Linked DNA regions of Nothobranchius furzeri. The protein of the gene in region 1 interacts with the protein of each later gene in a pairwise test. Links are inferred from orthologs where the notes say so. Each region holds a gene or a part of one and is shown in the gene's direction. Other genes may lie near its edges.

What was found. The genes of interacting proteins can lie anywhere in the genome.
Region 2: the proteins of trim23 (region 1) and morn4 interact in binary tests that used the Homo sapiens proteins (3 or more experiments, as listed by UniProt). The two-hybrid records come from large-scale screens. The link is inferred for Nothobranchius furzeri from reciprocal best matches to the Homo sapiens genes TRIM23 and MORN4.

The regions. Positions count from the first base shown.
Region 1 is NC_091746.1:63,287,569-63,291,680, reverse strand, and holds the start of trim23 (E3 ubiquitin-protein ligase TRIM23), read left to right. Parts: upstream 1-1,312; 5' UTR 1,313-1,327; coding exon 1,328-1,459; intron 1,460-2,132; coding exon 2,133-2,295; intron 2,296-4,112. Other genes in the region: mzt2b (mitotic-spindle organizing protein 2), read right to left, coding at 274-431, 510-685.
Region 2 is NC_091752.1:21,507,667-21,511,647, reverse strand, and holds morn4 (MORN repeat-containing protein 4), read left to right. Parts: upstream 1-1,181; 5' UTR 1,182-1,314; intron 1,315-1,928; 5' UTR 1,929-1,935; coding exon 1,936-2,002; intron 2,003-2,953; coding exon 2,954-3,068; intron 3,069-3,151; coding exon 3,152-3,261; intron 3,262-3,339; coding exon of another isoform or gene 3,340-3,358; coding exon 3,359-3,507; 3' UTR 3,508-3,660; downstream 3,661-3,981. UniProt on the Homo sapiens protein: Plays a role in promoting axonal degeneration following neuronal injury by toxic insult or trauma.

The DNA.
Region 1 (4,112 bases):
AAGTTGAAATGGGTACACTAGAAACTACTGATCACAAAACCATTTCACCCAATATAAATTGATGGTGGCTCAGGGGTTAGTTCACCCGGTAACTGGTGGGTCATCATCAGTGTGAATGGGTGAATTATTGACTGCAGTGTAACGCACTTTTGGAGTCCCTGACTTAGAAAAGCACAGTACAAGTGCGATTTTTAACTGCATCAGCAAGAGAATCCCTCCATGCTGGAGTAACACTTGAAGTTCAAAACTAAAGCCCAGTTTTTACACACTGACCTTTGACCTCGGTGGGTGCTGGGGTGGTGTTTGTTGTGTGGGAGACAACTGAAGCCTCTATGCAGCTGTCGGCTACTTTCTGTCCTGCACACATTGCCTTCAGGGTCTGGAAGACCGCTTGGGGAGCCACGTTCATTTTCAGGAGGTCCACTATGATCCTACAGGAGGGCAGAAACGAATCCTTTACTCATTCGCCGCGTGAAGAACCACATTTCTACCGGTCTCGGTTCACTCACTTAAAGACTTCTTGATCCACAGTGATGCCTGCAGCCTGAGTCAGTTCAAACAGCTCACTTTCTTCAGCACTCAGGATTTTCTTCTTCTTTATGGCATATTTCTGCACGTTTGCTGTGACCACCAGAGCAGGGAAGTCAGGAGCAGATGGCCCCGTCTGCTGTGTTGGCTGAGACATATCAAGTCCACCTGAGTGGTGAGAAAATGGCATTTATGCGCGAACATAAAACGTTAGCCGCGCAGAATAAACATATGGCGAAATTCAACCGCTCACTGAAAGGTAAGTAAACATAAAAACAGGTTATAAACAACAAAAAATACGTTTTTAATCAAACATGTGTTTATACCGTTAAAGCCGCAGCTTTTAGCGTGTAGAATCCCGCTTATATCCACAACTCCTCTCTGTAAACACGGCGCGTAGAAAATGCGTCATCATCACGGAACGTTCACGCAGCATGATGGGACATGTAGTTAGAAGCCTGTGGTTTGTTCTCGATAAATGTATTGAACGAGTAAATAAACATTAAAGTTGAGCCAGTTAAGCAAAGCATTAGATTTATATAACAAATAAAAAAAGCTGAAGCTGCTTGGTGGTCGTTTCAACCACGGACTTATATGGTTTAAAGGGTAAAAAGTAAAGACAATTAAAAGAATGAAATTACAGAGTCCTCTGACTCTGAAAGGCGCTATACAAATGCGGGTCATTTATCGGTTGTTTATCACTATGCGATTTATTTAGTGAACGTGGGTTACAAAATTACTACAAAAAGTATACCAAAATTGACACCGCGGAAGTTGTTGAGGGATTATCCTCTCACGCATGCTCAGTTCTCTCGCTCGCCGTCGTCGAAGAATGGCCGCCGCTGCAGCAGGAATAAACAAGCAGGGCGCAGGAGCGACGATGGAGACCTGTCTCCGGCACGGGAGGGGAGCCAGTGGAAGCACCGTGAAGGTCGTAAACATGTCACAAATTTCCGCAGCTAGGTCGTTATTGCTGTGAACATATTATTTGGTTAGCTTTGGTGATAAATGTCCGCTGGTTCAGACTTGCTTGATGTATTTCTAGTTGGAAGCTAAGGCTGCTGCGTTGGCGTTGGTCGCAGTGGGTGCCAAATACGGATTTTGACAGTGTAATAGCTGTGCAAACGCGTTTCATCATGTTATTGTAGCCGTTTATGCATTCCAGAAGACTCGTTTGTCATTAAGAAGCGTTTGCTGCGAGCTAGCACCAGCTCGAAAACCGCCGGTTGGCATTAGCACAAGTTTCTGATCGCTGCAGCCTTATAAACAAAAACAAGCAATCAGCTAGTCAGTGCATTATAAGGGTGTACAGTAGCAGCTGTTGGAAGAATTAATTTTAGTTTACAGAATAAAATGTGGGCAAAGCGTCTCGTGATGTTTACCTTGGGAGTCACTATGTCAAAGTGACTGCAACACCCTGGGATTTTTTTATCTCATCACTATTTTTCAAGTACCTCTGCTTTTCTGCATCAAGTCAAACCTAAAGTTACAAATTAAAATTCCTTACAAGTGTGCGTGATCCTGAGTGTGGAAGTCACCTTGCAGCAGATACAGACAGACAGACACATAGACAGGCAGTGTTCAAGCTGTGCTGTCACTTGCAGGTGCTGGAGTGTGGTGTGTGTGAGGACGTCTTCTCCCTCCAAGGTGACAAGGTCCCCCGTCTTCTGCTCTGTGGCCACACCGTGTGCCACGACTGTCTCACCCGGTTGCCCCTCCACGGCAGAGCGGTCCGCTGCCCCTTTGACCGACAGGTCACCGAGCTGGGTGAGTGAAGGACATAACATAATTTGGCCTTCGAAGAAGGATGCAGATTTGCAACATTTGGTAGAATTTTATTGAACTGAACAAATTCTGAGGATGCCTGGGAAAATGACAAAAATATTTCTTCAATCACTAAAAACAAACAACTATTCATCTCAGAAGTAACATAACATCCAAGTGGTATTCCTGACTGAAATTATCTTGGAGTGGCAAAGCACAGAGAATACACAGTCATCATAAGATGCAGGGTGTACTTTACTGGTTCTTGGACGGCAGATGCAAATATGCTGTTAGGCTGCAGAGAAAAGAGCTCACAATCGAAAACAGTCTAATGTAGGGAAATAAAACATGAACACATTTCAGATCCAGACCTTCCTTCGTAGTAGGTTTGATTTGACTTTGTCCTAAAACTTTGTGTAGTCTTGCAGTATTTGTTTACATCAACATCTCCGTTATTTAAAGTCATGCATTGGTGCTGACACTGGAAAGTGAAACTCAATTCAGTTTATTTATAAAGCGTCAAATAACGACAAGTCGTCTTGGTGCACTTCACAAAGTAAAACATAGGGATGTCCCATTCCGATATCGGAGGTCATTCCATATCAGCCCAAAAACACTGTATCGGATTATATCGGATGGCATCAAAAGTCTCCTATAAAAGCGGTTCGTTAAGGTTCACATTTTTGCAACTGTAGCTGCCAGATGAGCAGCTGATGGCAATGACTCTTAATTGGCTCACAGATTTTATATAAGCCACACCCTTCCAGAGAAAATGGCTTGGGTTAAGTTGTTTGTAGAGAAGATAACACTTTTGAAGTGTTGAAATTATGTCTTTGGTCTAAATTCACCTCAGCTGCACAGTGCCGACTGCATCCCCACGTAAGTTTTGCTGTATTGACGCTTTTGTTTGGGTTATTACTTCGACACTCTATAGTCATTGTTTGTTATTCTTGTCCATCCCCACTCAAATCTACAGATAAAGCAGCTTTAAGGACTTATTGGTTTGTTTAGCATCCTTGGCCAGTGGAGCAAGGTAAATGTGAGAATATAATTCATTTCTGTTATGACATCGAAGTTGTGTTCACCTTTTATTTATGCTTTGTATATCTCTAAACAGTTTTCACAGTGCAACTCATGGAGTGAAGTCCAAGGCATTGGACCAGAGAAACGAATAAAAGTTTATGCACCCGTCGAGGCTCTCCGTTCTTTTCTTCATGGTGCCAGGGGCAGCTACAGCAACCAATGGTTACAAAAGAAATTTTTCATACTTATTGTTATTGGCTGTTGTTCTCCAGTTGAGTAATATCAGTTGATCAAGCCTTTCATACATTCCACATTAGGAAACGGGTAAAAGTATGATTTGTGCTGATATCGTATCAGATTGATATCTGTAACGGTCAACACTGAAGGCTGCAACATCGATATCGTATCGGAAGTGAAAAAGTCGTATTGGGACATCGCTAAAAATATCCAATTGACGTGCATGAGTTTTAGACCAATAATGAAATTCAGCAAGACAATAATTTTGTCCATTTAGCGTCTCTCCATGTGTGTGGAAATCATGACTGTACGGTGCTGGAAAATCTTGAAAACTCTGAAGGTGGTTGAATTGAATCTGGACAAAGGTGTAAATGTTCTCTGTTGCACTTGTAGATTTTTCCTTCAGTACCTTCTAAGCAGAGCTCCACTCGATTCAGCCCAGTTTCACTAGTAACGGGTACCAGGTCGCTGCTCCTTTATTTGTCTGCTTCAAAGTGGTTCCAAGTGTACCAAACTGGGACGAAAAACGCAACGTCAGAGGACTGCCAGTCACTGATTGG
Region 2 (3,981 bases), on another chromosome or scaffold:
TAGTTTATTGATTAATCGTTTTGTACATAAATAGTACAAAACTGCAATTTTACTGTTCTTTGGTTTAAAGGGGAACACAAAAAATCTAATTATTCATCATCAATTATCTTTCACATTTTGATCATGTAACCATACCCACATAATTTGTATATTTATTTCATTGATCACTGCTTTCAAACTGGAATATTTATTTATTCATATATATTTTTTTAGATTTGTGGAGATTTCCATTCGTTTGTGTGTGTAGATAAAAAAATAATTAATGGATTATAGTAAAAAGAAAAAGAATCATACCACAATATTTCCCTGGGTTAGCATTGTGGTTTTAATTTAAAGAATAGGGATGTAAGAAAATGTTTGTATGATATACATATAAATGTTGTGTCCAAATCTAAAATAGGAGATAGAGTGAAATGACACTATAAAGTATTTTAAAAAGATGATAATGAATAAATATTTCAAAGCAATTTATCAAAATTGCATGCAAACATTTACTGTTTTGTGTTATGTAGTTCAAACTCCAACAGCTAGGTGGCAGCAGTTTTACCACCTTCACTCTGATGACAAGACCTTGCGGTAACACCGGGATAAAACGTGTCTGAAGTGTCTGAGCCAGTGTTTCCCAATCATCTAGTCTTGAAAATTGCAAATATTGTTTGTTTATTTAGCATCGCAATATATCGTATCCCCCCATTGTTAGAAATAGTCTATAACTAGATTCTTGCCAGTACAACTCTCTGTTAAATAGGAGAAAAAAATAACGATTTATTACATTTCAGATTTAAAACTACTCGCTTATAAATGAACACAGTTTTGCTTTTTATCTCAGTCCAGTACAAATTTAAAATAATTTTAGTCAACAAATTTATTTTTATATGACAGGACCATTATTTAAACCATAATGATGAAAATGGGTTAAATTAGTGAGTATAAGAGTAAAAAAAATAAAGATCTTTTTCAGAAATAAATCTCTCAGCTGCTGTATGCCATTAAAGAGCTTCTTCTTAAATGTTGCTTTAAATGTAACTCGGAATTCCTGGTTTTAGTTTCTCACAAACGTCATAGATATTCAGATGCCATCATTTAAAACGCTTTTAAGTTCTTAATAATGAAAATGAAGAATAGTTTTAGTATTTTAATACAAACAGTGTTAGTTCACGCGGTTTTATCCTACAGTCACTGGGTTGTTAGTCAACTTTACGGGCAGCACTTAAACGCACCATCCGTTTTTCAGCCGGTGTTTTTATTTATTTACGCCCGTCCGTTCCCGTACGGTTGCCTCCATGCTCCAGGGACGAAAACCCTTACGTGCAGGTAAATTACACCAATATAGGTGCTTTTATTTTCCTCTGATTTTCGTTTAATTTCAGGTTTTTGGCTTAAATTGGCTTATCGGTCAAAGCGAAGAGCCTCTTCAGAGCTTTAGTATGGATCGAAAACATATTGACAGCTAATTAGGCGTGTATTTGTAATCATGTGTGGATTTCTCAGCCTTTTTGTGATGAATTATTAATTTGCTAGCGGCCGCCTGGGTAAAATGACAGCTGTCTGCCATCTGTAACGTGGCCATTTGTTTTAAAGGGAGACTCACTAAAACACAATAGGCTGTTTGGAAATGACTGTGCGGAAAGCTTGCGTTTGTCTGCAGTCAAGCTTAAATGCTAACCTTATTAGGTGTCATAATTAATTTTTAGCTGATAATTAATCTGTCACTCATTTCAACTCTAATTTGAAGCAGTCGCTGTCAAACTGCAGATATTTTTTAATTGATTTCAGTTATATGATTTATAACCAATCAATAAATCAATCCCTGTCCATGTTTACATTTATTTTGAAAAGAAGAGTAAAGAGACATGTTGTCAATTGCTCAGAATAGTCAGGTGTATCTAAATACCATGTGTTGTTGCATGCATTTGTCTTGAATACAGGAATACCATGACCCTGACCAGAGGATCTTTCACTTATGCCAGCGGGGAGGAATACCATGGCGAGTGGAAAGAAGGCAAGATGGTTCTGTTCCACAGCTCCGATCCAAACGGAGACATCTGTCTGTGTTGCTCCATGCACGTCAGAGAGGTTTTGTCAGAGTTACAGGATGTGGTGACTGAGAAACGTCTCTTCAGTGTTTGTTAGATTCCTGCCTGCTCCTATCTGAACTGCTCGTTCTTTACATTTACTCCTGATTCTTGGAAATTCAGTTTTCTTCAAATTATAAGTAACAAAATTGTCAGTGAGATGAAAAATGTATTGAAACTTAAAACTGCATAAGTGTGGGCTTAATTATCTATTTAGAATGGAAATATCTAAATGATATTACCTGTGTTACTCTCACATTTACCTGCAGGTGCATTGCAGTTAGCTGCTGCTGGTAACTTAATACGAGCAGAGCCAGATTTAACAGCTCTGCTTTTGTCTAATCCCTTTTGAGCCTGACTTTGGAGTTTGGAACTGTTTAGGAAAGTGTGGCCAGTCCTCAAGGAGCATTTCATTTAATTAAAATACAACAGCATCCTTTATGCTGTGTTTAAATGTGCATTGCAGTTCTAACTCTTCGTGTTTATTTTCCCCTCCCATTTCTCCTTTACCCAGTTTTTGTGTGTCGTGGTGCAGTTTGTTCACTTAAGGTTCAGGTTTAAAATAGAAATCACTGCAAACCTGCAGGATTAGACGGCCGTAATTCCCACTTGCACGGGAGACAGATGGGGCTCCTAGTTCAGTAGTAAATCTTTATCTCATTTGGTTGGAAGGAAGTATTTAAATCCAAGTGTCCAATTTCTTGACACCTGAAGTGGCTCTGCAAAAAAATATGTCATTGTCAGACTCAGAGGCATCACAGTTGAAGCTGGTTGCTCCCTTTATTGAGGCATTTGTATTTAAATGAAGTTAAAATGTGCTCTGATATGATATTCCAGGAATGTAATGGTAATATTCACTAAGATGTGATGCTTTCCAGGTCGGAGGCATGGCCTCGGCCAGCTCAAGTTTCAAGATGGAACCTGCTACACTGGCCAGTTTGAGAATGGACTCTTTCATGGATCTGGTGTGCTGCGTTTTACAGATGGGTCCCGGTTCGTGTGCAAAGAAAGGGTAAACATTTTTGCACTTTGTTAAAAGATGCAAACAACATCCTGGTTTATTTACACCACACTAGGTATGAAGGAGAATTTGCACATGGCAAGTTTCAAGGCACGGGAGTCTTCAGCCGATACGACGGCATGAAATTTGAGGGGGAATTCAAAGACGGGCGCGTTGAGGGATACGGTAAGTCTGTGACCCTCCCCGCTTGGAGCAGCACATCCATCAGAATGTCAGTTTCCTCCATGTGGTTGGTCATGGTAGGATGTGTCTGTACCTGCAGGGCTGTTGACTTTCCCAGACGGAACTCACGGCGCTCCACGGAATGAGGGCTTGTTTCAAAACCACAAGCTGCAGAGGAGGGAGAAGTGTGCAGGTGTGGTGCAGCGTGCGCAGGCTTCAGCTTCCAGTGCTCACAGCCTGGCGACCTGATCGCTTGGACTCTTGAGGGGATGTTAGCTGAGCACCTTCCAGAAGGGCCTTAAAGATGTAAACTCCTCCAGTGCTTCTTACACTTTTTATTGTTTAATATTTTAAAATTCTGCCTCTCCTTTGGTCCACCAAATGCATTTGAACCAAATAACAGCTTTCTGTGTGGATTATTAGAAAGGCACAACAATAAGAAGCACACAGTGAGCAGCAAATTAGGCTTTTATTGTGTAAATATATAAATTAGTGTTCTGGACCTTAAGACTTTAAAATAACAAAGGAGAGCTACTGTGCACCTTGGATTTAGAAGTTTTAAAATTAAATATTTAAAAAAGTTTTAGCCTGTGATTAGATACTTTTTCTGAAAAAAATAAAATAAATAAAACTTCGTAAAGCAGCTTAAAATTCTAGAAATAATTTAGGGATGCTCCGATCCAGTCACGTGATCGGAAATCGGGCCCAATCACATGGTTTTAA